Macaca fascicularis: one gene and its partners. The protein of the gene in region 4 interacts with the protein of the main gene of each other region in a biochemical or structural test. Links are inferred from orthologs where the notes say so. Each region holds a gene or a part of one and is shown on either strand. Other genes may lie near its edges. The genes, in order: MTOR, PDK1, RPS6 and RPS6KB1.

Region 1 (7,044 bases), on a different chromosome or scaffold from region 4:
TGGGATTACAGGCATGAGCCACCGCACCCGGCCTGACCCAGAACTCTTAAAGGGTAACAAGGGGGCTTTCAATCAGCAGAAAGGCAAAAGCGGGTGGTGAAGGAGCAGGGAAACAGATCAAAGGTATGCCCCAATCCTAGCCTTTTTATATTCCGTTCAAATAATAAATTATTTTGCTTTATTCCAACTCAACCCCTTACATTCTTAGAGGATAATACAATTCTTGATCAAATTTACCTTGCCTGTTTTAGTTCCCAGATTTAAATACCAGACAAAGAATCTATGTAGGCTGGGTTTAAACATAGCTACTTTCTATTCACTAGAAATAAATTATCACCAGTGTGAATCAATGTTAAGTGGAGGAACTGCAATAGAGAAACCACAGGTGGCTGTCTCCAGACAGCATGTTCAGGCTTTCTGTACTTGCTTGTTTCTCTACAGTCTTGACCAATACTACCTATATGATCTTAAATTTCAAAAGTATCAACTTCTCCTGAAATATATCTCTGTGGGGTATTATTGTGGGTTTATTTGCAGTTTAGAACTACACAGTACAGTACTTTTAGAAATCATACTGCCAGCCGGGCACAGTGGCTCACGGTTGTAATCCTAGCACTTTGGGAAGCCGAGGCAGGCAGATCGCTTGAGGTCAGGAGTTCCAGAACAGCCTGGCCAACATGGTGAAACTCCATCTCTACCAAAAATACAAAAATTAGCTGGGTATGGTGACACGCACCTACAGTCCCAGCTACTTAGGAGGCTGTGGCTGGAGAATCGCTTGAACTCAGGAGATGGAGGATGCAGTGAGCTGATATTGTGCCACTGCACACCAGCCTAGGCAACAGAGAGACTTTGTCTCAAAAAAAAAAAAAAAAAAGAGAAAAGACACCATACCACCATAGACATGGAAACACCCAAAAGCCCCTGCTTATACATTTTAAAGCAGTACATATCATCTCAGCTACAAGGAAGTGAAAAAGTGGGGACATGAGGGGGATCTGTCTCTGCAGCATTATTTCCTTGGATCAACGTATACTTTCCCTCAAACGATCTGCCCCCAAACTCAGTATGGGACAAAGAAACAAACAGGAATTACCAATATATGGAAAGAGTCTAGGAAGGATGAGCTGCTACAGAATCAGCTACCCTGTCTCTGGGATCACAGCAAGATCCAGGAAGTCTAGATACTTTCATTCCTTTCCCAAAGTTTCCAGCAGCTCTCACTACCTTGCCAAGAGACATTGTAATTTCTTACCTTCAAATTCAAAGCTGCCAAGCGTTCGGAGGGCAAGAGTGATGCTGCCCACATCGCTGGCCTCAGGGAGGGTTGTGAGGCCAGGAGAGGCCAGCTGATGGGCCAGGCCCTTAGGCATGCCTGGGTGGCGGAGTGGTTTGTGCATAAGGACCAGGGACAGCATTTTCAGTAGCCCATCTTGAATGTCCTTCTTTAGCTGTGGAATCTGACGACTCAGGTCGTAGAGCACTGCAGTGAGGGCAGGGCTGAGGGGAAGGAAACAAGCCACATAAGGGCTGGGCACATGACACTTAGTCTGTTCTTGGGAAGAAATAGCTTTCTCTCCTAGCAAGCGGATCAGGCCTCTGTTCTTCAGAGTAGAAAGGATATTATAAAATAAGAATAAAAGTGTAAACTCTCTTGGCTTAGTCTCAGGTATCCAAACAATCTGTGAGTTTCTGGTTCTCACCACAAAAGATTTGCTCACTATAATTCAGCCACTACAGAAGACCAAGTCTCAACAAACACTCTGGGAAGCAGATTTAAAACACTGTCCTTATTTTACAGATGAGGAGAAATTAGTTTAGGAAGCTTAAGCAACTTGCTCAATAATATATACAATATTTGCAAATATTTATTGAGTACTTCCTATATGCCAGGCATGGTGCTAAGAGTGACTATATCATGAACCCACAGCAACCCTAGGCAATACGAATTACTATTGTACCCACTTTTCAGATTAAAAGAAAAAAATGAGGCCGGGCACGGAGGCTCACACCTGTAATCCCAGCACTTGGGAGGCCGAGGCGGGCGGATCACAAGGTCAGGAGACTGAGACCATCCTGGCTAACATGGTGAAACCCCATCTCTACCAAAAATACAAAGAATTAGCCAGGCGTGGTGGCAGGTGCCTGTAGTCCCACCTACTCGGGACACTGAGGCAGGAGAATGGTGTGAGCCCAGGAGGCGGAGCTTGCAGTGAGCTGAGATCGCGCCACTGCACTCCAGCCTGGGCGACAGAGCGAGACTCCTCAAAAAAAAAAAAAAAGAGGCTCAGAGAAATTAAATAACTTAGTCAAGATCACATAACACGCTAGTGATGAAACTAGGATTCAGTACTAGCCTATGTGTTTAGTCTAAGCTATCCTGTCCATCCAACTGAAAGTGCAAACAACCACGCCTCACTCTTTTAACAGTCCCAACACTGGGGGCCAAGCCGCACATTGATATAGGGCAACCTCAGGTTTCTGACACCCACCTTAGTCCTACTGCCAGCATGGGCTCCAGCAGCTCCTTGATATCCTGCTGGATGCTTGGCCCCATTGCTCGAGCCAGCATGCTGATGCAAGTGAAGACTGTGGCGTCCACCTGCATTGCCTTCTGCCTCCTGCAGAGAAACCAACAGTGGCTAGTTGAGACATAATGACATTCTTTAATGTCCCACCTCAAAATCACCTTGGGGCAAGGAGAACAGGTTACTCAGGCAGATGGGCGTGCAAGCCGTCCACAGCACAGTTCAAAGGGGCCCATCACATCACAGTGACTGTAGATGTGTATGTTTCTACAACAATCCAGCAGATGGCAGTAAAGTGTCTTAAGGAAGGGGCCCTTTTTCCGAATTCACACAGCTGTACCATATGGATTAGTGTGGTGCTCACCAAGATACTTACGTAGGAAGGGAGATGAACAATGTGTTCATCAGGGACAAGAAGGCAGTAAACAGCCATCGTATGGAAAGAAATTCTTCTATGATGAGAATGCGGGGCTTTAGAATGGAGCCAGGCGCAGTAGCTCACGCCTGTAATCCCAGCACTCTGGGAGGCTACGGTGGGTAGATCACTTGAGGCCAGGAGTTCGAGACCAGCCTGGCCAACATGGTGAAACCCTGTGTCTACAAAAAAATACAATAATTAGCTGGGTGTGGTGGCACATGCCTGTAATCCCAGCTACTTGGGAGGCTGAGGCAGGAGAACCGCTTGAACCCAAGAGGAGGACGTTGCAGTGAGCCAAGATTGCGCCACTGCACTCAACAAAGTGAGACTCTATCTCAAAAAAAAAAAAAAAAAAGAAGAATGAATGGGGTGTATTAATTCACCACAGCAATCTTCACTAATAAACAGGGAAGTATAAAGACAACCCTGAGACAAAGGGTGAGGAACACTGACCCCCCGCCTTAGCGAAGACACCCTGGCCACTCCATCTGGCAGGACGCTGAGGGAGTTTCTCATAGTGTATTCTCCAGAAGGTTTAAAGAGGTGGAATAACGTATTCAACTTCAGTGATGAGGAAAAAGATGACCCTTAGGTCCCTTCAGTTCCAGGAGAGGATTCCTCTCTTTAGGTCTTATATCAAAATAAGACTTTTAAAAGCCAGAGAAAAAAGCAAAACTAGCAGATTCCCAGTAAATAATAACACTGAAAACAGCATTGACATCTCACGTGTTCTCAGGGTATTCAACCTCCCCAAATAGTTCATATATGTTATTTCATTTGGAAAAGCTTAGAATTCAACTGAGGAAGGGCTGTTCTTCATATGATTTGCTATACCCTGGAGTTGAATGTGCAAAAAATGGCTTAAGCTCTGTGGATCTGGGATAGAGCGTCCTTCCTCTCCAACCGAATGAAGCGGAAGGTGAAATCATAACAGAGGTGCTTACTTATGGGCGAAGTCCTTTGGGGGCAGGGCCGCTCGGATGATGTCCAGCACGCGAGGCAAATAGACCTTAAACTCAGACCTCACAGCCACAGAAAGCAGCCCCAGGGCTTGGAAGGCTGCTGTACGTTCCTTCTCCTTCTTGACACAGCTTAGGACATGGTTCATAGTATCTTGGAGGTACTGAGTATCTGAGTACAGAAAAGACAAAGTAGATAGCTCCAGGTCAGGGTTAGGGTCTATACATCAACAGTCAAAGGTCCTATAAAGCAATTCAGTTTAAGAATAAATTAAGAAAGTTGCCAGTGGCTCACGCCTGTAATCCCAACACTTTGGGAGGCCAAGGAGGGAGGATTGTTTGAGGCCAGGAGTTCGAAACAGCCTGGGCAACACAGCAAGACCCTGTCTCTACAAAAAATAAAAATTAGCCAGGTGTGGTGGTGCACGCCTGTAATCCCAGTTACTCGGGAAGCTGAGGCAGGAGGATCGCTTGAGCCCAGACGGTTGAGGCTGCAGAGAGGTGTGATCATGTGCAGTGCTGCACTCAAGCCTGAGTGACAAAGCAAGACCCTGTCTCAGAAGAAAAAAAAAAAAAGAAATCCAAAACACGTAAAAGGTTGCCAAAACAGTATCATGTAATTGTCTCCATTACTGTTACATTTTGATACAAGAATTACATGCTCTTGCTTAAGAAATATATGTCAAACATTGTTTAAAAACAGAAGATCTAAACAATTTTACATTATAATGAAATCTGAAGTACAGTCATGGGCCAGGTGCAGTGTCTCACACATGTAATCCCAGTACTTTAGGAGGCTGAGGAAGATCACTTGAGTCCAGGAGTTTGAGGCTGCACTGAGCCAAGAGCCATGCACTCCAGCCTGGGCGACAGAATAAGACCCTGTCTCAGGGCCAGGCTGGTGGCTCATGCCTGTAATCCCAGCACTTTGGGATGCCAAGGTGGGTGGATCACCTGAGGTCAGGAGTTTGAGACCAGCCTGACCAACATAAAGAAACCCCATCTCTACTAAAAATACAAAATTAGTCGGGCACAGGGGTGCATGTCTGTAATCCTAGCTACTCGGGAGGCTGAGGCAGGAGAATCACTTGAACCCAGAAGGCGGCGGTTGCGGTGAGTCGAGATCACGCCACTCCACTCCAGCCTGGGCAACAAGAGCAAAACTACATCTCAGTAAAAAAAAAAAAAAAAAAGACCCTGTCTCAAACTAATAAAAACCCAGTACAGGGCCGGGCACAGTGGCTCACGCCTGTAATCCCAACACTTTGGGAGGCCGAGGCGGGTAGATGCCTGAGCTCAGGAGTTTGAGACCAGCTTGCACAACATGATGAAACCCCGTCTCTACTAAAATACAAAAAATTAGCCGGGCGTGGTGGCGTGTGCCTGTAGTCCCAGCTATTTGGGAGGCTGACACAGGAGAATCGCTTGAACCCGGGAGGTGGAGGTTGCAGTAAGCCAAGATTGTGCCACTGCACTCCAGCCTGGGTGACAGAGCAAGACTCTGTCTCAGAAAAACAAACAAACAAATAAACAAACAGTACAGTCTTGCGCCACTTAACGATGCTTATGTTAACAATGGACCACATATATGATGGTGGTCCCATAAGATTATAATACAGTACATTTTTGCGTATCTTTTCTATGTCTATGTTTAGATACACAAACATTTACCACTGTTTTACAGTTGCCTATTCATTACAGTAACATGCTGCACAAGTTGTAGCCCAGGAGCAATAGGCTATACCATAGAGCTAGGTGTAGAGTAGGCTACCTGGGTTTATGTAAATATATTCTATGATGTTCATACAAGGATAAATTCTCCTAAGGACGCATTTCTCAGAATGTATCCCCATCGTTAAGTAATATATGACTGTAATACTGAACACTGTTTGCAATAAACAGGCCATTCCATTCAGCTTAGGCCTAGAAATCATTTTGCTATTACCTAGAGATTTTTGTGACAGTTATATTTAATAGAAGATTTAGTCTGTAATTTGGAAAGCCACATGTATATTTTCATTAAGTTTACATAAGCCAGTGTGCATGGGTAGGCGATTCTCGTACAATTCAAGCTAAAGTGTTATTTCTCCTCTGAAAGCTGGAATTTCCTGATTCTTGCTTCTTGTCTATTCCTTCTTTTCCATTGATGTTGGTCCCCAGTATAGGCACCAGTAGTACACATAAAGTAGGAGAGAAGCGAAAACCACACATCCCTTAGGAAGTTAGGGGTGTTGAAAGCTACCAGAACCACATTTAGACAGTGGATTAGACTCCTAAAGCAGCACATATCATGACTGCATTTACTCTGAGAAATGTTTTCTCCCACGGCTTTTGTGGTCAAATGACAATGAGGCATGCTGGGGCTTGAAGACAGATGACCAAGGCGATACAACCCTAAAATAAGAGTGAGTCAACAAGAAAAACTAGGGGGATAGCATTTCGGCAGGAAATGGGCTAAAATCAAGAGTATAATTTCTTGGCAAGGCGCCACAGCTGTCTGTAATCCCAAGCACTGTGGGAGGCCGAGGCGGGAGAATTGCTTGAGCCCAGGAGTTCAAGACCAGCCTGGGCAACACAGTGAGACCCCCATCTCTACAAAAAATAAATTTAAAAAATCAGCCAGGTGTGGAGACTCACGCTTGTGGGCCTACCTACTTGGGAGGCTGAGGTGAGAGGATCACTTGAGCTCAGTAGGTCATGGCTGCAGTGAGCTGTGACCGCATCCCTGCACTTCAGCCTGGGAGACACAGCAAGACCCTGTCTCAAAAAAAAACCCAAGAGAGCATAATTTTCTTTTCTGGATTTAACACCCTGAGAGATTAGAAATCTGACTTTAGAGATTCCAGTTCAGTCTTGGGAGTATTTTTTGTATTTCTAAAGCTTATACCACTGAGAAGTTTAAGCAATAACTTCCAAACTGCAAGCTTTAAACAAATAGTATTTATGCAATGAAGCGAATACTTATAGGGGGTGCCCAGGCTGAATGTCACTGGCATATTTTAGCAAATTTAATAAAACAACTTTGACTAACCTTAAAAAAGAGAGCAACAACAATAACAAACACCCACATCAAAAGCAGAAATCTAGGGCCCTCCGAGCCTTTGTATCCTGCTGCTAAGCAGTCTTCTGAACTTACAAG
Region 2 (7,577 bases), on a different chromosome or scaffold from region 4:
AGACCCCATCTCTACAAAAAATAAAAGAATTTGTCAGGTATGGTGGCACATGGCTGTGGTCCCAGCTGCTCGGGAGGCTAAGGCTGTAGGATCTCTTGAGCCCAGGAGGTCAAGACTGCAGTGAGCCATGATCACACTACTGCACTCTAGCCTGGGTGACGGAGACCCTGTCTCTAAAAAGAAAATAAATTCATTTTAAAAATAATAAACAGGCTGGGCACAATGGCTCATGCCCACAATCCCTGCACTTTGAGAGGCCCAGGTGGGCAAATCCCTTGAGCTCCGGAGTTTGAGGCCAGTCTAGGCAACATGGAAAAACCCTATCTCTGCTAAAAAATACAAAAATTAGCTGGGCGTGGCACGCGCTTGTGGTTTCAGCTACTCAGGAGGCTGAGGTGGGAGGATCACCTGAGCCAGGGAGGTGGAGGTTGCAGTGAGCTGAGCTGTGATCGCCACTGCACTCCAACCTGGGTGACAGAGTAAGAGTAAGAACCTGTCTCAAAAAAATAAGTAAACGGGCTAGGAGCGGTGGCTCACGCCTGTAATCCCAGCACTTTGGGAAGCCGAGGTGGGAGGATCACCTGAGGTCAGGAGTTTGAGACTAGCCTGGCCAATATGGTGAAACCTCTGTCTCTACTAAAAATACAAACATTAGCTGGGTGTGGTGGCAGGTGCCTGTATCCAGCTACTCTGGAGGCTGAGGCAAGAGAATTACTTGAACCCAGGAGGCAGAGGTTGCAGTGAGCCAAGATCATGCACTCCAGCCTGGGTGACAGAGCAAGACTCCATTTAAAAAAAAAAATACATAAATAAATAAAAATAACAACAATGAATAAAATGGAGAGATTCATACCTACTGTGCAAGGTTGTTAAAGGGATTAAAGGCAATATACATAAATACCTAGTCATCAACAAATTGTAGACATTTTTCTCATAATATCCTTGCAGATATACTAACATAAATCCTAAATTTAGCATCTGTATTTCAGTGCAGTTCTAATTGGTTTTCTCAAAATCAAGGAGTTGTGGAGTCCAGGATTCAGGGCACAAGCCCAAATACATTGCCCCCACCTGCCCCCAGACAAAAAAAGAATACTGCTACTACCTTAAGATTCTGGCCAGGCATGGTGGCTCATGCCTGTAATCCCAATACTTTGGGAGGCCAAGGCAGGCGGATCACAAGGTCAGGAGATCGAGATCATCCTGGCCAACATGGTGAAACCCTGTATCTACTAAAAATACAAAAATTAGCTGGGCATGGTGGCATATGCCTGTAATCCCAGTTACTCGGGAGGCTGAGGCAGGAGAATTGCCTGAACCAGTGAGCTGGAGCTTGCAGTGAGCTGAGATTGTGCCACTGCACTCCAGCCTGGCCTAAGAGCAGGACTCCCTCTCAAAAAAAAAAAAAAAAAAAAAGATTCCACTGAAGAGTAAAAAAAGCATTTGCCGTAACCTTGAATAGAGTCCACAACTCCATCAAATTGTAAACACAAGATGAGAATCTTACCAGCTTTGTACCAATTGAACGGATGGTGTTCTGAGAAGATTATCTGGAAGGAGACTTATTTCTTTCATTATATTTGCCAGTCTGACAGGCAACTCTTGCCGAAGAAACATAAATGAGGTCTTTTCACAAGCATTCACTGATCCTGAAACCAAACATGATGGGTAAAGCAGTAAGTAAAAGCCATAAGGAAACCGAAGGCAAGAGGCAGGGAGAAATGAGAGGCAGTTACCTGGCAAGGCCAGAGGGGTAGAATCACCACGATGGGGCAAGGAATAGAAGGCAAAGGTATCCCTGCCTGTGGGAGGTGAGGGATGAGATAACCCAGTCTCCAGAGTTATGACATTCCAATTACTGACATTCCAATGGCTCTGTACAGCAATTACGATAACCTTGTCTCCCTAACTTGTATCCTTATAGTGATGACCCATTTTAGAAGTGAGGTAAACTGAGCATTTCTGAGCAAGGCTTTATAAAATTAACAGCAGAACCTGGAAAAGTCTAGCCTGTACACCCTGTTGCTGCTATCATTTAGAAAATCTGTTTTTTAACTCTAGTTTTAAAAAGAGTTAATGTCTAAGAAACAGAAACTTTAAGGTGGTCTGAATGCAGTGGTATTTACGACTAATTGATTACGACCAGTTACAGATTTCTTTGTTCCTTCTCCACTCCCACTGTTTCACTTGACTAGCCTTAAAAAAATAAATTAAAAACAGGGGGCCAGGCACAGTGATTCATGCCTATAATCCCAGCACTTTGCGAGGCCGAGGCTTGAGGACTGTTTGAGCGCAGGGGTTCAAGACCAGCCTGGGCAACACAATGAGACCTCGTATTTATAAAAAATAAAAAACAGCTGGGCGTGGTTGTGCTTGCCTGTAATTCTAGCCTTGGGAAGCTCAGGCAGAAAAGTGAGGTTATAGTGACCTATGATAGCACCACTGCACTCCAGCCTGGGTGACAGAGTAAAACCCTGTCTCAATCAAAAAGAAAAGAGTAAAATTTTGATGTTTGCATATGAAGATTCACTGATTCCATATAGAACCACAAATGCTAATTACAGTAAGCAAAGAGTAAGTGGAGTCCAGGTGTGGTGGCTCACACCTATAATCACTTTGGGAGGCCAAGCTGGGAGGATGGCTTGAGCCCAGGAGTTTGAGACCAGCCTGGACAACATAGCGAGACCCCATTTCTAGTTTTAAAAAATACACACACACACACACACACACACGGGAAAAAAGAGTAAGTGCAGAGGAAAGCTTTCAAGCAACAGAAAGCAAAAACCACCACTGCCTGTTAGCACCATCTTCAAGTAGGTCCTATTCAATTGTCTGGTTACTGGAAAGTCTCCTGACCCCTCCACTCCCATATCACGATCCCATATCACTTCCTAAGCAGAATCGTTGTAGAATGTCCTTTGGCAAACAGCTCCACTTAATATTAAACTAAAAGGTCTTGCTATTCCAGTAATGCATTTTAAGCTTACTATTCTTGCTGCTTTAGCAGAGAAAACGTTAGCAAAAACTAGACTGTCAATAGTAGAAATTAAGTTATTAAAGGAAAACAGCTTGTGAAAGTTTCATGGCATACTTATGACCACCACCAAATTCGCCCCTACGTCGAACTAGTGTCATTTTAAAGTAAAAACAAAAACCTAAGGCTTTGACCCAAAAATTATGCGACTATAAACCACAGTTTTAAGACAAAGTTGTCAACCATGCAGGTATCATTCAATGCAGAAGTCACAATGCAGAAGATAACCTTTGTACTCAAATTTTATGAATTCATTAAGGTTTTCCCTTTTCCCCTCATTGCCTTGATAGGTAAGTGGGAAGTAAAAGTTAAAATGCCTAACTATGCAATTCCTTCTGCAATCTGTTTAACAGCTTATCGAGAAAACAAGGATAATCTGGTAAACTTCACAGCATCCTGTCCTCATGCACTCAACACGTGCTCAAGACTTACTTGCTGATGATGAAATGCGCTGTTGGTGCAAACAATTTATGCTACTGGCAAGGAAAACATTCTAAGAAACTCTGGGCCAGTTATAACCTGCCTTGCCTATCATCACGCCATTTCTATGCAATCAGCATATGCAAAACTGGGCATTCATCATCACTGCGCGGAATCCAAAAGCGATCCTCGGGGGTGTCCACGCTCGGCCTCCCACGCGGGCGCGCCTCCTCGGAAGGGGCCTGGCCGAGCGCGCACCTGCACACGTGCGCCGGAAGGCGGGAGGTCATTCCGCGCGGCCCAGCTGGTTTGTTTTCAACAATACGATCAAAGCCACACGCCCACCGTTATTTACGCCGTCAGCCAGCGCCGGCACTTGGAGGAAGGAAGCACCTAAGGCGCTGGGGGCGGAAACACTGAGGAGGAGGGCTGCGCCTCAGGCGAGAGCTGGCCGGCACCGACCGGGCCTGGAGCAGGGGCCGCAGCTCCCCGCCTGGGACCGCGCACAAAGGCCCGAAGTCCGGGCCGCACTCACCGAAGTCCAGGAACTGCTTCATGGAGAGCGGGGACGGTGAGAAGCGCGCGTAGAAGTCCACCTGGCCCGGAACGCCGCGCTCGGGCGCCGGGCCGGAGCCCGAGTCCGAGCTGAAGGAGCGGCTGGGGCCGGCGGCGCGCAGCCCCGGGCCCGGGACGGGCAAGGCAGCTCCGCGAAGCAGCCGCGCCAGCCTCATGCCGAGCCCCGCTAGAGAAGCCAGAGCCCGGGCGCCACGTTTCCCCGCGCCTCTGCCGAGTGGTACGTGAGGGACGTGGCGGGCAGCAGGGGAGGGGAGCGGCTGTCACCGGCGCGGCCCCCACCCCTCTCGCCGGAGCCCGGCCCCCTGCGCCGCTGGGCGGGATGCAGAGCGGGAAGGAGGCGGGGAGAGAAAAGGGGGCGGGCGCTCGCGGGGCCCGCCCCCTCGCCGGATTCCCGCCCAGCCCTGCGGGGAAGTAGATGAGGAGCGCGCGCCAGGCCGCAGCCGGCGAGGTGTGGGGTGCGCGTGGCAGTTGTTCCCGTACATTTCAGGTGACGGGACCGGGGACACTAAGAGGCGAGGCGGTGTGGAGCGTCCCCTTCCCGCGCCCTTTTGAAACAAATCCCACCTTCCTGCTTCCTCTGCCCTCCTAGTCTCGGCCAAAAGGCTCAAGGACAGGGCGGCCCTCCGCTTGCACACACCGCGGTGTCCTGCTGCGAGCGCGTTCTAAAACCGCTTCTCTGTGACGCAAGCCACACATTTCAGGGTCAGAGAGCTTCAGGAGTCCCCGCTTGCCAAACAGTGGTACGTAAATACGAATGCTGAAGAGTGGGACGTGTGGCCCTAAATAGTATCACCGAGACGGCGGCCCCAGGAGGAGAGACGTACTGCCATGTACTGGCTGTGTGCCTTTGAGTTGAGCTCTTTAACCTCTCTGAGCCTCCATCTCTTTACCTGAAAAAGGAGCGTAGTATCTGCCTCAGTTGCTCTGACATGGGTAGTAGAGCTATCTGTGTTAGCACAATGCCGGGGACATACCAGATAATAAATGGGATTTATTTTTACCATTATTGCTTTTTAAAATTATGTCCTTATTAAGATTTTATCAGAACCACTTACCTGTGTTTTCCCTGAAGCACATTTTACCAAAAGTTTGAGAGAAAACAACAGTTTTTGGCCGTTTTGTAACTATTTGACGTATTCGAGTATCAGCAGTTCTTCTCCCACACTGACTGTAGGTTTTAGAAAGTGTAACGGGTACATAGTTTTGTGAACCCCGAAAGTAAGAGACAAGTCTCGATTAATGTATAAAGTTTATCTTGGCAAAGTTGAGAACACGTCCGTCTCTATATGTAAGAAGCAGACAACTTGAAGCAGGGGGGAAGGCTTCCAGGTTATAGGTAGGTGAGACAAATGGTTGCAGTCTTGAGTTTCTAAGCCTTTCCAAAAGAGGCAATCAGATATGCATCTATCTCAGCAGAGGGATGACTTTGAATAGAATGGGAGGCAGGTTTGCCTCGAGCAGTTCCCAGCTTGAATTTTCCCTTTAGCTCAGTGATTTTGGGGCCCATGTTTTCCTTTCACATTTCGGTGAATCTTCATTCTCCTTATGTTTTTCTGGACAATCACACGTGGATACGGTATGGGACATTATTCTTTTGGCCCTGACAGCTTTGTCAAACCTGGTATCAGTGTGCACCTCTGGAGTTCCCATCTCTTTCTTGGCAAATTTCCAGATATCTTTGCTGAGTGCCCGAAGGCCACACTTCTTGAAGTCCATTTCAATGGGATGTGCTTGGGAATGTTGATGGTGTCACCACCTCATTGGTGGCTGAATGGCCCCCTTCTGCTTCCCACCCTTCTTCTGCAGTGCCCAAGTTGGAATGAAGAAAACAATTTTAAGTTGAATATTACACGTTCTTAAAACAATCCATCAAACATTTCCACAGCTCTACTCCAGCTTCTCAGGTTGCCTCCTCCTTTCTTTTCTCCTTCCTTCTAGATTATTCCCTGAGCTCCAAAGTCTTGTCACTTTATCATGCACACCATTATTCAGCTTCCTCAATCCCTGTTTGCAATTTTGCTGCTTTCTGCCTGAGCATGTCAAGATGCTCGGCTGAACATTAATTTATGTGAAAGCACAAAGGCCCAGCAGAAACTTTGAGACTATTTTAGCAAGATTTTTTCCCCCAGGAAGGAATCAACTGTTGTATAAAGTGCTTTTTCTTTTCTCCAAAGTATATTCACCATGCTTCAACCAATATATGGAGAATGTGCATATAAAAGCACATATTAAGTGATGTCAACTTTTGCTTCTTAGTCAAAGACTCTGGGTCCAGAAACTGGAGAGAACTTTTGAGGACTTTAGTAAAGAGCTATATTTTCTGTTGTTATGGTCTGAATGTGTCCCCTAAAATTCCTATGTTGAAACTTAATTATCCACGTGGTAGTATTAAGAGGTGGGGCCTTTAGGAGGGAATTAAGTCATGAGGGCAGAGCCTTATAAAAGGGCCTAAGAGGGTGAGTCTGTTTCTACCATCTCTTCTACCATGTGAATGAAACTGCCTTTGAAAAATTATAACAGTGAGAAAATTCTGACAGTGAAAGAGATCTGACCTAACCAACTCCATCTTGCTTCTCACTTCCAAGCTGCCCTTGTTTATTGATGAGCATAGGCCAAACTAACTTTGGGAGGAATTTAGTTTATATATTAACTTTGAAACAAAGATAACAGCTCCTCCATGAAACAAACCCCCAGCTTTCCTGGGGACCGGAACACCTTTGTTAAACTAACAAATTAGGCAGGGCACAATGGCTCATGCCTGTAATCCCAGCACTTTGGGAGGCCAAAGTGGGAGGATTGCATAAGTCCAGGAGTTCGAGACCAGCCTGGGCAGCATAGACCTTGTCTCGACAGAAAATGAACAAAATTAGCTGGGCATGGTGGCACGTGCCTGTAGTGCTTCGTGGGGAGCATCAGTTGAGCCCAGAAGGTGTAGTTTGCAGTGAGCCAAGATCCTGCTGCATCATTTCTGCCTGTGTGACAGAGCGAGACCTTGTCTCAAAAAATAAGTAACAAACTAGCTACAAGATTAGAAATTATAACTCAGGAGTCATGCAGTCAGAGTCCACAAGATCACTGACCTCCGCAATTGCGCCTATAGATAACATTGCTATTATAAAACCTAACGTTGGTGTTTGAGTTATTTTTCAAACCCTGAATTCCAATGGACCAGGTAGAACCACACAGATAAGTAAAATGACTCATCTGGTCTTGTGGCCCCCACCCAGAAACTGACTAAGCATAAGATGACAGCTTCGACTTCCTATAATTTTATTCCTGACTCAACCAATCAGCATTCCCCATTGTCTAACCTGCTGTCTGCCAAACTATCTTTAAAAAACCCTAGCCTCTGAATTTCTGGGAGGTTGGTTTGAGTAGTAATAAAACTCTCATCTTCCATTTAGCCAGCTCCACAGGCATTAAACTCTTTGTCTTGATAAATTGGCTCTATCTGGGCAGCAGGCAAGAAAAACCTATTGGGTGGTTTACATGAGGACACAGCAAGAAAGCCCTTACCAGACATTGAATCCTGGCACCTTGATCTTGA
Region 3 (7,628 bases), on a different chromosome or scaffold from region 4:
TAATAGTCCTCATCATTTCCCCTAAGTTCAATGCCATTCTGAAGAGGCAGATGTCTTATGCTCAGAATCCCTTCCTGTGCTACCCATCCCCCAAAAAGAACCCCTTTACATTGACCTTGTCTTCCACTACCACACAATAGGTCTGATTATATCCACCATTGGATTACCATATACATATCCCCATTTTCTATGACCAACTTTCCCTCTCTTCATTTATGTAGTTTTCTGTCAAGCAATGAAAAGTCAACAGAGATCCGAGTCTGATCTTATTTATTTGTTACTCAAAAAATCTTATTTCTGACTGGATTCAGACTTAGAAGTAGAAGCTCGCAGAGAGGAAAGTCTGCGTCTCTTTGCAATTTGTTCCTGGCGCTTCTCCTTAGCCTCCTAAACAAAACAAAAAACAGCATATAGTTAAGGCCTTTCTGGGGTAAAGATGCAAATCCAAAGCCAGGTCGAACTCCTCCCACCCCTTCAAATCATCTTACACTAACCTTCATTCTTTTGGCCAAAAGTTTAGCATATTCTGCAGCCTCTTCCTTGTTTTTCTTAGTACGCTGCTTCTTCAGAGCAATACGCCGCCGTTTGTGCTGCAGGACACGTGGAGTAACAAGACGCTGAATCTTGGGTGCTTTGGTCCTAGGTTTCTTACCTAAAAATTCAAAGGACTCAATCATTTCAACTGTTTTGTTAGAATCCACATCTACTTTAAAAACATCAGAAATGAACGTAAGCTTCATCAACAGCATCTATGAAAACCTGTATTGAGGCCTTTAAAATCAAATCAGAAGTATTTTAAAATACTTTTTGCTCCTCCACAGAAATCTAGAAGATGGGTTAAATATAAAAATATAAGGGAAACCAAGTGCTGAAAAATAACCAAGCTAACCTTTACTACCTTCCAGTTTTACTAAAATACAGTGGCATTATGTTAAAATATAACTCTGCATAGTCAATTTGTCTGTGAAAACCACTTAACATAGTATTTACATAATCATCCTGCCATACTTTTAAGTGTAAGTTTGATGTAAGCTTGCATCTCTATTTCCCTTGACAATTCCTGCCAATTCAGGGGTAACGTAACAATTAACATCAGATTATGTGACATGTTGTTAAAGTATCTTCATTAATCTGATCTGTACTCCAAAACTGCTCAGACTGTAGATTTGCATTGGAGCACAGGCTGTTTCATGAACACTCGTGGGAGTTTAATTGCCTTAGGCTAAATGCTCAGATGTTCAGGTTCTGCTAATATTTCAGACTCCTACTATAAACACAGGAACCATCTAAAAATACCCATCAACCACACCACGCTTTTATTATTCTGATTATTTCCAGGGCTGTGATTATCGGCAACTGCCACCTATTTGTCAATTGCTTTTCTTTTTTTTTTTTTTGCAATGTCAGCTTCATTAGGGTAGGAATTTGTCTATACTGTATTCTCAGCACCTTGAACAGTACCTGGTGCTCAAATAATTGTAATTACTGACTTAACAAACATGTACTATATATGCCATGTACAGGTGTTAAGTCACACCAGTCCTGAAAAAACAAAATCCAGAGAAATTCTTTCAGATTTTGTCAGGAAAACCCAACCTTGACTGACATGCTGTTTATTCTATTTAACATAAACATTCCCAAATTTCACTACAGAAATACTGTCATTTGAGGTCCTCACTGGTATGTTGTCTAATATATTGACACAAGTTCTTAAAAGGTAAAGCTCCAAAATCCCTAACTCCCACTTCCTAGTATTCTAAGGTCTCTAACTTCTAATTCTTACAACTCTTAACAATTGTTATCCATATCCTACAGATGAAACAAAAGTTTAAAGCAACTTCTTTAGTAAGCCAAAAAATAATTTAGGGTTGGGTGTGGTGGCCTGTAATCCCAGCACTTTGGGAGGCCAAGGTGGGAGGATCACTTGAGTTCAAGGGTTCTAGACCAGCGTGGGCAACACAGTGTGACCTCATCTCTTAAAAAATATTAACAGTAATAATTTAGAACATCTGATGTAAAATTACAAAGTGTGTGGTGGTGAGATAATAGTTCCAGAATTCTCAAGCATGTGACTCCTAAACCAGATAGCAATGACCTTAAAGTCAGGTTAGTTTTGGATAAATGTATACATCAAAGATTCACAGGCAGATTTTCAAGGAAATTACTGCACTCTACAAGGCACTGGATATAATAAGCAAGGATTAATACCAAGTGGGTATGCTGGCCACCCCCACATATTTTTTGTAAAAATTCAGACTCCAGGTGAAGAATGCTAAGGCTCCAAAGGCACATTTTTATCTTCTCATATGCACACAAAATGATATTGACAAATCACCAAAATTAAGCAAGCCCTAATTGCATAATCCCTCCTACCTTCTTTGTTTAAGGGCTTTCTTACAACATACTGGCGGACGTCATCTTCTTTAGAGAGATTGAAAAGTTTGCGGATTCTGCTAGCTCTTTTGGGGCCCAGGCGGCGAGGAACTGTAGTATCAGTCAGTCCAGGAATATCCTTCTCTCCTTAGAAGACACAATTGAAAAGATTTTAATTCAACAACTTCCTTAAGAATCCTAAATCAGAATATTTAATGTTGAATTGATGGTAAAGAAACAAATCCATTGGATACTGCAAATGAATAAGCATTTGGACAACTGGCTTTACATCAATTTCAATGAAAATTGAACACAAGTAACCCTCACCTTTTTTTACAATAACCAAGTTGAGAACGCTCAGATTGGCATCCACAATGCAACCACGAACTGATTTTCTCTTTCTTTCTCCCGTTCTCCTTGGTCTGTAACAGGAATGCCCCTTACTCAGTAGCAGGCGGACACGGCCATGGGTCAAGACACCCTGCTTCATGGGGAAACCTTGTTTGTCGTTCCCACCACTGATTCGGACCACATAACCCTGCAAGAGCATACAATGAATGACACATTTACTATTTCTATTCCAAAATTATACAATACAGGATTGTGACCTCTGTGAACCACACCTATATGAGAAAGTATAATTCATTATGAAAACCAATTTAAACTTAAAACTTAAGCACGTTTTCTCTGATCAGTAAGTTTTGTCTACATTCCCAACTTATCAAGTTCAATTATCAGATGTCTTTCATTCAAGTCGCATTTCTAACCGATGTTTTATTAGAAATAACAGCACTAGGAAGATAAAATATCAAAGAGCAACAAACAAATCAGATACAATGCGTCTTCGCACTTTGGAGATTATGAGGACAGCTATGTGACATCTGCCGAATGCATGATGCATGGCAAGAATTACGTTGATGTAAACTTTACGTATATTTTACGGCTTACTCTATGTCTCCCCTCCAAGGTAACAGCTCAACTTCATAAAGTGGCATTCGGAAGCAACTTACCAAAGGTCAGAAGCCAGAACCCGCAGTCTGAACCCCATTCCAAATACCAATTACCAATGGCGTTTACCGTCTGACTTCAATAGCTGCAACAATTTGATTGTTAACTTTTACCTTCCATTCTTCACCCAGAGCGTCAGCAGCAACTTCTGTGGCCATACGCTTCTCATAAAAAGTACGAAGTTTGCGTTCATCGTCCACTTCAATGAGTTTCTGGCAGCCAGTGGCTGGGAAGGAGATGTTCAGCTAAGGATTAAAAGGGAGGGAAATAGTTTACGAAACTACCTACACAGGTAATTGTAGAGCCATCCACAAAGTTAATTCCACTGCAAAAAGCCTTTCATGTTGCCTCCACACAAGCAGGAAATATGAGATGCCGACCGTACTCACTAAAAGCACGTGAAAGCACAGTAGCAGTCAAGAAGCGCCGCACTCAGGAGGACGTGTTCCCCTCAAGCCCCGCAGAATGACTCTGGGGGCGAGGGCGCTCCGCAGCTGTTCACCCTCCCGAAGCAAGAAAGCCGGGGTCAAGAGCCGCACCACAGGCCTGCCGCAAACTGGGCAACACGCCGGGACGCCACCATGGCGCTCCCGGCCCGCCGCGGCTCCAGCCGCAATCGCCTGCCATCCGCTCGGCCAAAAAGCTCCATGCCCCAGAAAAGCGAGCCTTCTCCTACTTGAGACCCTTCTCCACCTAAAGCCAGGATCTTGCAGTGCTGGAAATGAGGCAATGCCGCGTTCTGGGACTCGATTCACGTTCCCCAAACCAGTCTAACACTCGCCACCACCACCTACCTTCATGTTGAAGCAGCTGAACGCCTCCGAGGCGCCACGGAAAAGAGGACCAACTTCCGCTTAGCGCAAGTCTCATAGGCGCTTTCAGTTCTCGCGAGATGAGCAGAAGTACGGGACAGCGGAAGTAAGCACGGGTGGGCGGCACTTCCGGGGTTGAGTTGAATCAGGGTCTGGGAGGTGAAGTTGGTTGCCAGTGGGTGTGAGGTTATGCCAGCAGTGGTGGTCTGGTAAGGCGAGCCCGCGTGTAATTCTGAGGGTTAGCCCCTTCCCTGTCTTGTCTTTTCCACGCTCCCTGGGTTTTGGAGCTGGGTGGCTCACGCCTGTAATCCCAACATTTTGGGAGGCTGAGGCGGGCGGATTATTTTAGGTCAGGAGTTCGAGACCAGCCTGGCCAACATGGCGAAACTCCGTCTCTAATAAAAATATATAAATTAGCCGCGCGTGGTGGGGGGGGGCGACTGTAGTTCCAGCTACTAGGGAGGCTGAGGCACGACAATCGCTTGAGCCCGAGAGGCGGAGGTTGCAGTGAGCCCATATCGCACCACTGCACTGCAGCCTAGGCGACAGAGGGAGACTCCGCCTCAAAATAATAAAAGTTCGAGTTCCAAATCAAGTAAACAAGAATAATGTTTACTTTCTAAAATTATCACATACCATCTTCCCACTTTAGTGTCACACAGGTTTGAGTTTAGGACTGTTTCACGTTCGAAGTTGAACGACTCTACTGAATCCGCTTTGATCATCTCACATTAATTCGTGGAATCTTGGTGAAATGATGCTTTTTAAAATCTGAGTACTGTATGTAATTTTTTTGTTAAGGTGAAATTGACACAACCAGTCATTTTTAAAGTGAACAATTCAGTGGCATTTAGTACATTCACAATGCTGTACAACCAGCCTCTCTATCGATACAGTTCCAAAACATTTTCATCATCCTAAAAGAAAACGCTGTGCCCCGTTAAGCGGTTGCTCCCCCTTCCCCATTTCCACCAGGCCCTGGCAACCACCAATCTGTGTCCTGTCTCAGTGGATGTGCCTATTTCACAAAAATGGAATCATACAATATTGACCGTTTGTGTCTGTCTTACTAATCTTTTGAGTCGTAGCATGTATCAGTATGTCATCCCTTTTATGGCTCAATATGCTAGTGTAGGTATAGACTGCAATTTGTTTATCCATTCATCCATTAATAGACATATGGGTTGTTTCTACCTTTTAACTATTGTAAATAGTTCTTCTATGTATGAGTACTTGTTTTCAGTTATTTTAGGTATATACCTAAGAGTGAAATTGCTGGGTCATACAGTAATTTTATTCTCAGGGAGAAACGGAAACTATTTCACAGCAGCTGGACCATTTTACATTCCCACCAGCAATGTATGAGGGCCGCAGTTTATCAAAATCATGGCCAACACTTTTTTTTTTTTTTTTTTAATTTTTAAAAAATGTATTGTAGAGACAGGGTCAAAGCGAGATCCTGTTGGTCTGGAACTCTTGGCCTGCAGCATCCTCCTGCCTCAGCCTCTGGAGTAGCTGCGACTCATAGTGGTTTCGATTTGCATTTCCCTAATGACTAATGATGTTGAGCATGTTTTAATGTGTTTGTTGGCCATTTGTATATCTTCTTTAGAGAAATGTCTGTATAAGCTCTTAACTCTCCCTGTTTTTTTCGCCCTAATTATTTTTATTGAAGTAGTGGGAGTAAATTAATGTGAGGCAAAGACAAAGTCTAGAACCACGGGCTAGGTTTTTTTGTTTGTTTTTCCCTTTAAAAATATTTTAGGGTGGCCAAACTCAGTGGCTCACACTGGTAATCCAAATGCTTTAGGACGCTGAGATGGGAGGATCTCCTGAGGCCAGGAGTTTGAGATCAGCCCGGGCAAACATAATGACACCCTGTCTTCAAACCCTGACACCATTTTGAAGTGTACACTTCAGTAATGTTAAATATATTAACATTGTTGTAAAATAGATCTCCAGAACTTTTTCATCTTGCAAAACGGGAACTTCATACTCATTAAGTAACTCCTTTCCCCCTACCCACAGCTTTTGGTAACCATTCTACTTTCTGTCTCTATGATTTTGACTAAGTATCTCATATAAATGGAATCAAACGGTAGTTGTCTTTTTGTGACTGGCTTATGTCATTTAACATAATGGTCTCAAGGTTCATCCGTGTTATAGCATGTGACAGGATTTCCTTCGCTTTTAAGGCTGAATAATACTCTGTTGCATGTAGATACTACATTTTGTTTAACCGTTCATCTGTCATTGGACATTTTGGTTGTTTCCACCTCTTGGCTACTGTAAATAATGCTGATATGAACATAGGTGTGCAAATATATCTTAGAGACAGACCCTGTTTTCAATTATTTGGGATATCCAGAAGTGGGACTGCTGGATCATGTAGTAGTTCTATTTTTAATTTTTTGAGGAACCTCTATACTCTTTTACATGTGACTGTACCAATTTACAATCCCACCAACAGTACACAAGGGTTCTTTGCCTTTTTTTTTTTTTTTTTTTTGAGACGGAGTCTTCCTGTGTTGCCCAGGCTGGAGTGCAGTGGCACAATGTCGGCTCACTGCAACCTCTGCTTCCCAGGTTCAAGCGATTCTCCCACTTCAGCCTGAGTAGCTGCTGGGATTACAGGTGTGTGCCACCATGCCCGGCTAAATTTTGTATTTTTAGTAGAGATGGGGTTTCACCATGTTGGCCAGGATGGTCTCAAACTCCTGACCTCAAATGATCCTCCTGCCTTGGCCTCCCAAGATGCTGGGATTACAGGTATCAGCCACTACACCAGGTCCACACACTTTTTTTCTTTTTTTTCTGAGACTGAGTTTCGCTCTTGTTGCCCAGGCTGGAGTGCAATGGCGCTATCTCAGCTCACCTCAACCTCTGCCTCCCAGGTTCAAGCAATTTGTTCTGCCTCAGCCTCCGAGTAGCTGGGATTACAGGCATGCACCAACACGCCCGGCTAATTTTTGTATTTTTAGTAAAGATGGGGTTTTTCCATGTTGGTCAGGCTGGTTTCGAACTCCCGACCTCAGGTGATCCACTCGTCTCGTCCTCCTGAAGTGCTGGGATTACAAGTGTGAGCCACTGTGCCTGGCTCACACTTTTAATATAACAGAATATTTAATTACATCAGTTTCCCATCAACCTTCCAAAGTCATTTAATAATTATATTGGCCATTTCTACTGATTGGCAGGAGTCTCTCCCATCGTTTCCATTGCATCATTTTTCTGGCCAGACTTAGTTCATTTTCAGCCTGCAGAATCACCTCTTCTATTTGACCACCTTGAAGTTGGTCTTCTGATTTTTAAAAATTTTTATTTATTTAATTATTTATTTTTGAGACAGAGTCTCACTCTGTTGCCCAGGCTGAAGTGCAGTAGCATGATCTTGGCTCACTGCAACCTCTACCTCCCGGGTTTAAGTGATTCTCC
Region 4 (7,044 bases):
TCCCAGTTTAGTTACTCTGTAATGCTACAAACCTTATAAAATCAAATTAGTAAACTTCAATTCAGTGATTATATTTTAATTAAAAAACAGCATGTATAAAATAAAAAAATATCCTGTAATAGCTGATTTTAAAGAAAATAATCAAGTGATGAAAAAAAAGCACTTAATCTCTTTTATACACTTACCTGGTATAATCATAAAGAACCCTCTTAGAAACTCAAGACTAGTAATATCGACATCATATTTTAAACTATGCTTGGAATTTTACAAATAAATATAGATAAGCCATATTGCATAGGTGTGTGCTTTCTGTCTGTGACACTAATGTGACACTTGACATGTTTTCACAGTCATAGTAGGGATATCCATTTATGAAACAAGTTCTCAATAAACTTTCCACAGCATGGGAAATAAATTTCACTTAATAAATGTGAAGTCAGAAAAACTATATATTTGTGTGGATGGTAGCTGTGCAATTAATGCTTTTTATGCAGAAAAGTTGCAGTGTTTGCCACTATTGCTGGCACTACTAATTATGAAAATGGTTTAACTGGGGTGGTTATAGCCAACCAATCACAGTGCTCATGTTACTAGCAAATAGGACCTAGGAGGAATATTTTGGTGTATAAGTTTCACTGGAATTTGGTCAGGCAGTCAACACTACAGTTAGTAAACATATTTGAAAACAAGTATTAAGAGTATCACAAGCCATTTACAGTCTGAAATAATGCCTGTACATATCACCATAGCTTTTCGGGTTCTGTTTTTTCAGATATCACAAATTGTCAGAGAACAAGGATCTGCACTTTAAAGTATAATTTCTGCCCTTAATTATTATTGTAGCTTCTAATTTACCAGCAACAGTCATAAAGTTCTCAGTAGGCTGCTGCAATAAGGGAGGAGGGGTAAGAGGGAGTGATTTTTTTAAAAAAGGCTTTCTGTCCAAAGATGAGCTTTTATCTATTCTTTCAATTATTGCCACAATTGAAAAGGTATATTTCCAATCATTTTTCATGGTTCTGTTTTTGCTTACTGTCATAGGATTTCATCCCATCTCATTTGGGTTGCAATTTCAAAAAGCAAAGCCTTGCTCTTTTCTGACTGAATTCAACATGCATAAAGAATTTTATGGCTTGGATCCTATGGCTCAAAAAGGTTTGAAAACATAGCAAGCAGCATCTATTTAAAAAAATCCTAGGGTTGCAAAATACTACAAATTGACTTTGCACACTCAGACTGAAGACATTATAAAAGACAAAGAAAAACAGGTGATAGAACTCAACTGCAACTGCATGATTATCTATTATACCAGTATGCACTGAAATATATTTTTATAAAGCTCTGCAGATATTAAACCCTTTCACCAGCTAAAGTCATGGAAATGCTCTCTTTAAGGCAGGAAATATTTAAGAAAGGTAAAGTTACCTTTATTTTTATTCTTTGTACCTGTAAATCATTTATGTAGATTTTGTTACAATTTCAAAAACATAGTGTCCTGTTAACATGTTTCCTAAATTAAGTCACTAAGTTTTCTTATTTACTGTGGAAGACATTCATCAAAAGGCCATCAAATATTTTTACAATCAAAAAATGTAGCCCCAGTATAGGAGAAAAAAAAATAGACCTTTTTTTCTTTTTAAAACTGTTGAGGAAAAAATATAAGGAAAGTAGACAGCAGAAACAGTAGAAAGAAGTAAAACTGAAAATCTTACCAATTTGCTGTAAAGAGATTAGACAGAGAGTGGGCCACAGCAACACCCTCTTCCCCTGGATATCCCTATCTCCCTCACCTTGCCGACCGCAGTATGTATTTTTTATCCTGACTCTCTTTTGTTGTTCTTCAGCCAAAGGCTGAGCACATTTGGCGTCTTGAACCAAATACTGGTATAAGAACAGGTGGCGATTTTTTTTCCAGTGCAATGCAGGCCCGGGACAATGATGAAATGTAGGACATACAACTTATGCCCATTCCAAGGCTTCCAGTTAAGCTTAGCACATAGCAGTACTGCAAGTAGAAATGATTAAATAGATTCTTTTTTGTTTTCTCATATTACAGACAGGTATTGCAGCTGGGTTACTGAAAATAAACCCCAGGTCCACCCCAATCCCTCAAACGAGCCACAGCTGTGGTTAACAATGATTCATTTGCATTTTATTATTTCACCAAGAGAAGAAACAGAAGTTGTCTGGCTTTCTTCACACCAACCAATAATTTCGCATTTTAAAGTTTGGGATGTTTTTCATAATGAGCTGAATCAAAAATCTATTTGAAAAATATATATTTATATAAAAAAAAGATTCAGGTTGTTTGCACGTAAAACATCAATTGGTAAGTTTCTTTTGTCTTTGATTCCAAGTTGCTGGAAAAAGTTTGACCAAGCTTGCATGCTAATTTGTCCTTAGTTGCAAGTATTATAGGCAATTTTGTACTTTGCCTAATGAAAGGATAACCCTTCTTTGACACAATCAGAACTCAACAGTGATTCAGAAGCAACATCCTACCCTTAATACTGTCAGTTTCGAGTCATCAACATGAAAATCCTTGATAAGGTTGAGAAGATGTCGCGAGGAATCAATTACTTGATGTGCCTAAGAGTTCAGCAATACTATTTTGCTTTAAGTTTTTTTTTTTTTTTTGCACCATTGATTGATTTTTTAAAATCCATGTTTATTTTTCCTCTGTCCAAAGTGTTCTATGTAATGACACTGACTCTCTGAAACTGTCATTTTGAGTCTTGTTTCACTTTGCAGGATGCTCACACATCGCCCTCTCCACCTTGTTTGCCTTAAATTCATTAAAAGCATTGCTCTGTCATAGATTCATACGCAGGTGCTCTGGCCGTTTGGAGATCATGGGAAAAGCTTGTTTTTTGTATGGCCCAGAGTTCGGCTGTCGTATTGGAAGTGGTGCCGATGCTTCCCCACTCATTGTCACATCCATCTGCTCTATGCCACTTGTTTCCATTGGGTATTCCACAGGTGTCTGAGGATTTGCTGTGCTGGCCGAAGCACCTCTTCCCCAGAAATCCCCAGGAGAAAATTTGACTGGGCTTTAAGACAAGGAAGAGCTATCATTCATTTGTTTAAGGGTCATCTCAACAAGACATATTTCCTTTACATTTAAAGGGAGTGGGGTAATATGACATTTATTTTCGTTTAATTTTATTTGCATGTGGATTAGCACAAAGGCAAAAGTTGAACCATCTCTCGCCCGCCTAGATTAACTGCTAGAATTTCCTAACCAGTCTCTACCTCTACACCTGACCCCCAAACCCCTCAATGATATATAAATACATATTATATATATATATCATTTTACTCTCCCCTGCTCAAAACAGCTTTCTACTGCATTTAAAATAAAATCCTTTTCCAAACCTCTGCCCTTCTCCTCCTCACTCACCACACACTCCAGGAACAATGATCTCATTTCCAGGAAAAGGACAACTTTTCTCCTCCCTCAGGGCTTTTGCATTTGCTGTTCTTCTGCCTGCAACATTCTTAAACCTTCTATTTTTGTAGGGCTGGCTCTTTCTGTTCACTGCTAGATGTTACTACACCAGGGAGGCCTTTCTCTGACCACTGTGAGTAGAAGCCCCCTTGTTTTTCCTCTGCTGTCTACCACTACATTCCTTTCCCCCCCCCTTTTAAATTATAGCACTTAGCACTACTTATATTTTTGTATATCCTTTGTCTATTGTGACTCTCCCACTACATTGTAAGCCTCATCAGGACAGGGACAATTACTGTATTATAGTACTATACACACACACACACAGAACATGCAGCATGCAGTGCTGGTGCTCTTGGTGCACAATAAATGCTGAGTGAATGGATAAAGAGAAACATTTGCCAGTGTGGCTGCTTACTTTCAGGAGGGAAGGTAAACCATATAACATCACAGATTAGTCAGACTAGTCCTTTGCAATGTGAGATACAGATGTTGTGCTTATGTCAACCAAAGAGACCATGACAGTCCTTCATTTATGTAACTTGGCATAAATTTCTTAAGCAAACACTCTCACTCATAGGTTGTAATAAAAAAAAAAAAAAGTGAAAATAAGAGTGTGAAATACCTGACAGGTGTTCGTGGGCTGCCAATAAATCTTCGAGGTGATCGGATTTTTGGTTCAAAGGAAAACTTTTCTTTTACACTTTCAAGTACAGATGGAGCCACATATGTAAAACCCTGAAAGACAGTAACAGTGGACTACAGAATGGCGTTTTGCCATATATCTCAAGAAAATGGGGTTGTTCAGTCTGACATACCTACACAATGATGCACACCTAAAGCCACCAATGTGTACACTCTCCCACATCCTCAACCTCATTTTTAGACCTGTTAACTTCCTTCCAGCCATTTTGTGAGGCACACACTTCAAGAACAGAATTCTATTGAGCCTGATTGCTAGCAAACAAAATTCCACCCTACTGACAGGAACAGAAAAAAAAAACAGGAAAATTCAGGCTCCATATGAAGATGTTAAATACGGCCAGGCACAGTGGGTCACGCCTGTCATCCCAGCACTTTGGGAGGCCAAGGCGGGCAGACTACCTGAGGTCAGGAGTTCAAACCAGCCTGGCCAATGTGGGGAAACACCGTCTCTACTAAAAATACAAAAATTAGCCATGCATGGTGGTGCACGCCTATAATCCCAGCTACCTGGGAGGCTGAGGCAAGAGGATCACTTGAACCTGAGAGGCAGAGGTTGCAGTGAGCAGAGATCGCAACACTGCATTCTAGCCTGGGCAACAGAGCAAGACTCCATCTCAAAAATTAAAAAAAAAAAAAAAAGATGTTAAATACTAGGAGAAATATAAAGAAACTTCTAGTGTTTCTAGCCACAGGCATGTAAGCAATTAAGTTTATCACCCCAAAACAGTTTCTCATAATTAGGCCAAAGTAAAAACAATTTTCTGACTTAGCATCAAAGTCAGATCTTGTGATCTTTCTGGTTTTATGCCAATGATTAGACAGAATTTGTGTTTTGTTTTAAGAGATGGGGTATCCCTATATTGCCCAGGCTGGAGTGCAGTGGTGATATCGTAGCTCACTGCAGCCTCAAACTCCTGGAGCCAAGCTATTCTCCCACCTCAGCCCCTCAAGTAGCTGGGACTATATAGGCATGTGTGATCTCTGCCCAGCTAGAATTTGGTATTTTCTTGATGAATAAGTATCAACATTTCAAAACCTTTCAGTTGTAATAGGCAAAAATGCAGTTCTGTTCATTTTAGTTCTCTCTTGGACCTTACTATTAGGCTACCAGCTGTCATTTCTCTAGCTGTCAATGTTCATTCTTTTAACCGTCTTCACCTATCTTCTATTTATCAAAATCTATGAGTAAGCATTATGTGTTACAATAAATAAGACTCAACAAAGCTCTGAGTGAAGGCCCAAAGAGTGAGGTGCAATTCTGAAGTGCATATGAATTGTGACAGTTATATGTGAACTTCAAAAAATAACTTTACAAACGTTCTAGTGAACTAAAGCTGTAACTATCATGAGGTACAGGCTGTGCCTTAATCATCTTTGAATTTCCTCTAATTATGTGATGGAGTCTTACAACAGGAATTGAATATTTGTTGAAATGAGGTTGCTAGAACCACATTATCCAGATAAGTGGGATATCACTATATATATGTGTGTGTATATATATGTGTGTGTGTGTGTATATGTGTGTGTGTGTGTGTGTGTATATATATATATATATATTTTTTTTTTTTTGAGATGGAGTCTTGCTCTGTCGCCCAGGCTGGAGTGCAGTGAGGGGCATGACCTTGGCTCACTGTAACCTCCACCTCCCAGGTTCAAGCGATTCTCCTGCCTCAGCCTTCCCAGTAGCTGGGACTACAGCCACCACGCCTGGTTAATTTTTGTCTTTTTAGTAGAGACGGGTTTTCACCATTTGGCCAGGCTGGTCTGGAACTCCTGACATTGTCATCCACCCACCTCAGCCTCCCAAAGTGCTGGGATTATAGGCGTGACCCACTGCGCCCAGCCTATTTTTTTATTAATGTTTAAAGAGATCTACTTTATGTACAGAATTCTGGCTACAACCTAACAAATGAATTGTTCTGTTCATCAGTTAGCCAATTTAAGTAATTATGAAAAGCTCAATAATACCGTAATTGGCAATGAAAGCTTCAATATCTCACTTTTACCGCCACAACTTTGGATTTCTTGGTAGCTAAATAAAATGCTTCTATTTTGTGGGTGAAAAACTGTCACATAAGTTGAAATTCTGCAATGTCCAATTGAGGAAAAGGTCTCTATTTTAAATCAAAGGTATAAATTCCACATCTGTAGTACATGAGAGAAAAAAAAAAAAGCCAAAATTAAAGTGATTCATGCCCACTTCCCTAACTGAACCTAAGATTTTACTAACAGAGATGCCGTAACTTTGATCATGCACCATCAAACTTGAATTTAAAACCATGCATGTACTCACTCATCTTTTATCTCTTATGTAATTAATACTGTAAGATTGTATTTTTGCCTATGTGCTCTATATTACTAATTTATAGGACTATTACTATTCAGTGTTGTTTACTCAAACTATACTATACACAACTTTTGCATTCCATGCTAACTTTATTTTTTTATTTTTTTATTTTTTTGAGACAGAGTCTCGCTCTGTCGCCCAGGCTGGAGTGTAGTGGCCAGATCTCAGCTCACTGCAAGCTCCGCCTCCCAGGTCTACGCCATTCTCCTGCCTCAGCCTCCGGAGTAGTTGGGACTACAGGCGCCCGCCACCTCGCCCAGCTAGTTTTTTGTATTTTTTTAGTAGAGACGTTAACCAGGCTGGTCTCGATCTCCTGACCTCGTGATCCGCCCGTCTCGGCTTCCCAAAGTGCTGGGATTACAGGCTTGAGCCACCGCACCCGGCAACTTTATTTTTTTTAATTATTTTTTTTTGATACGGAGTCTCACTATTGCTCAGGCTGGAGTGCAGTGGCATAATCTTGGCTCCTGCAAACCTCTGCCTTCCGGGTTCAAGTGATTCTCCTGCCTCAGCCTCCCAAGTAGTTGGTACCACAGGTGCATGC

The links.
Region 1: of the proteins of RPS6KB1 (region 4) and MTOR, one has a biochemical effect on the other in vitro, tested with the Homo sapiens proteins (18 studies listed by BioGRID and IntAct, with this or other methods). The link is inferred for Macaca fascicularis from reciprocal best matches to the Homo sapiens genes RPS6KB1 and MTOR.
Region 2: the proteins of RPS6KB1 (region 4) and PDK1 form a complex in vitro, tested with the Homo sapiens proteins (2 studies listed by BioGRID and IntAct, with this or other methods). The link is inferred for Macaca fascicularis from reciprocal best matches to the Homo sapiens genes RPS6KB1 and PDK1.
Region 3: of the proteins of RPS6KB1 (region 4) and RPS6, one has a biochemical effect on the other in vitro, tested with the Homo sapiens proteins (4 studies listed by BioGRID). The link is inferred for Macaca fascicularis from reciprocal best matches to the Homo sapiens genes RPS6KB1 and RPS6.

The regions. Positions count from the first base shown.
Region 1 is NC_088375.1:223,563,079-223,570,122, reverse strand, and holds part of MTOR (serine/threonine-protein kinase mTOR), read right to left. Parts: intron 4,078-7,044; coding exon 3,891-4,077; intron 2,622-3,890; coding exon 2,493-2,621; intron 1,501-2,492; coding exon 1,256-1,500; intron 1-1,255. UniProt on the Homo sapiens protein: Serine/threonine protein kinase which is a central regulator of cellular metabolism, growth and survival in response to hormones, growth factors, nutrients, energy and stress signals.
Region 2 is NC_088386.1:68,100,153-68,107,729, reverse strand, and holds the start of PDK1 (pyruvate dehydrogenase (acetyl-transferring) kinase isozyme 1, mitochondrial), read right to left. Parts: upstream 4,317-7,577; 5' UTR 4,186-4,316; coding exon 3,990-4,185; exon of another isoform or gene 3,873-3,989; intron 3,846-3,872; exon of another isoform or gene 3,467-3,845; intron 1,650-3,466; coding exon 1,508-1,649; intron 1-1,507. UniProt on the Homo sapiens protein: Kinase that plays a key role in regulation of glucose and fatty acid metabolism and homeostasis via phosphorylation of the pyruvate dehydrogenase subunits PDHA1 and PDHA2.
Region 3 is NC_088389.1:79,493,420-79,501,047, reverse strand, and holds RPS6 (small ribosomal subunit protein eS6), read right to left. Parts: upstream 4,223-7,628; 5' UTR 4,182-4,222; coding exon 4,176-4,181; intron 3,627-4,175; coding exon 3,495-3,626; intron 2,912-3,494; coding exon 2,701-2,911; intron 2,521-2,700; coding exon 2,374-2,520; intron 653-2,373; coding exon 495-652; intron 388-494; coding exon 292-387; 3' UTR 254-291; downstream 1-253. UniProt on the Homo sapiens protein: Component of the 40S small ribosomal subunit. Plays an important role in controlling cell growth and proliferation through the selective translation of particular classes of mRNA.
Region 4 is NC_088390.1:46,750,742-46,757,785, forward strand, and holds the end of RPS6KB1 (ribosomal protein S6 kinase beta-1), read right to left. Parts: intron 6,299-7,044; coding exon of another isoform or gene 6,278-6,298; exon of another isoform or gene 5,699-6,277; intron 4,187-5,698; coding exon 4,074-4,186; intron 3,051-4,073; coding exon 2,813-3,050; 3' UTR 1,406-2,812; downstream 1-1,405. UniProt on the Homo sapiens protein: Serine/threonine-protein kinase that acts downstream of mTOR signaling in response to growth factors and nutrients to promote cell proliferation, cell growth and cell cycle progression.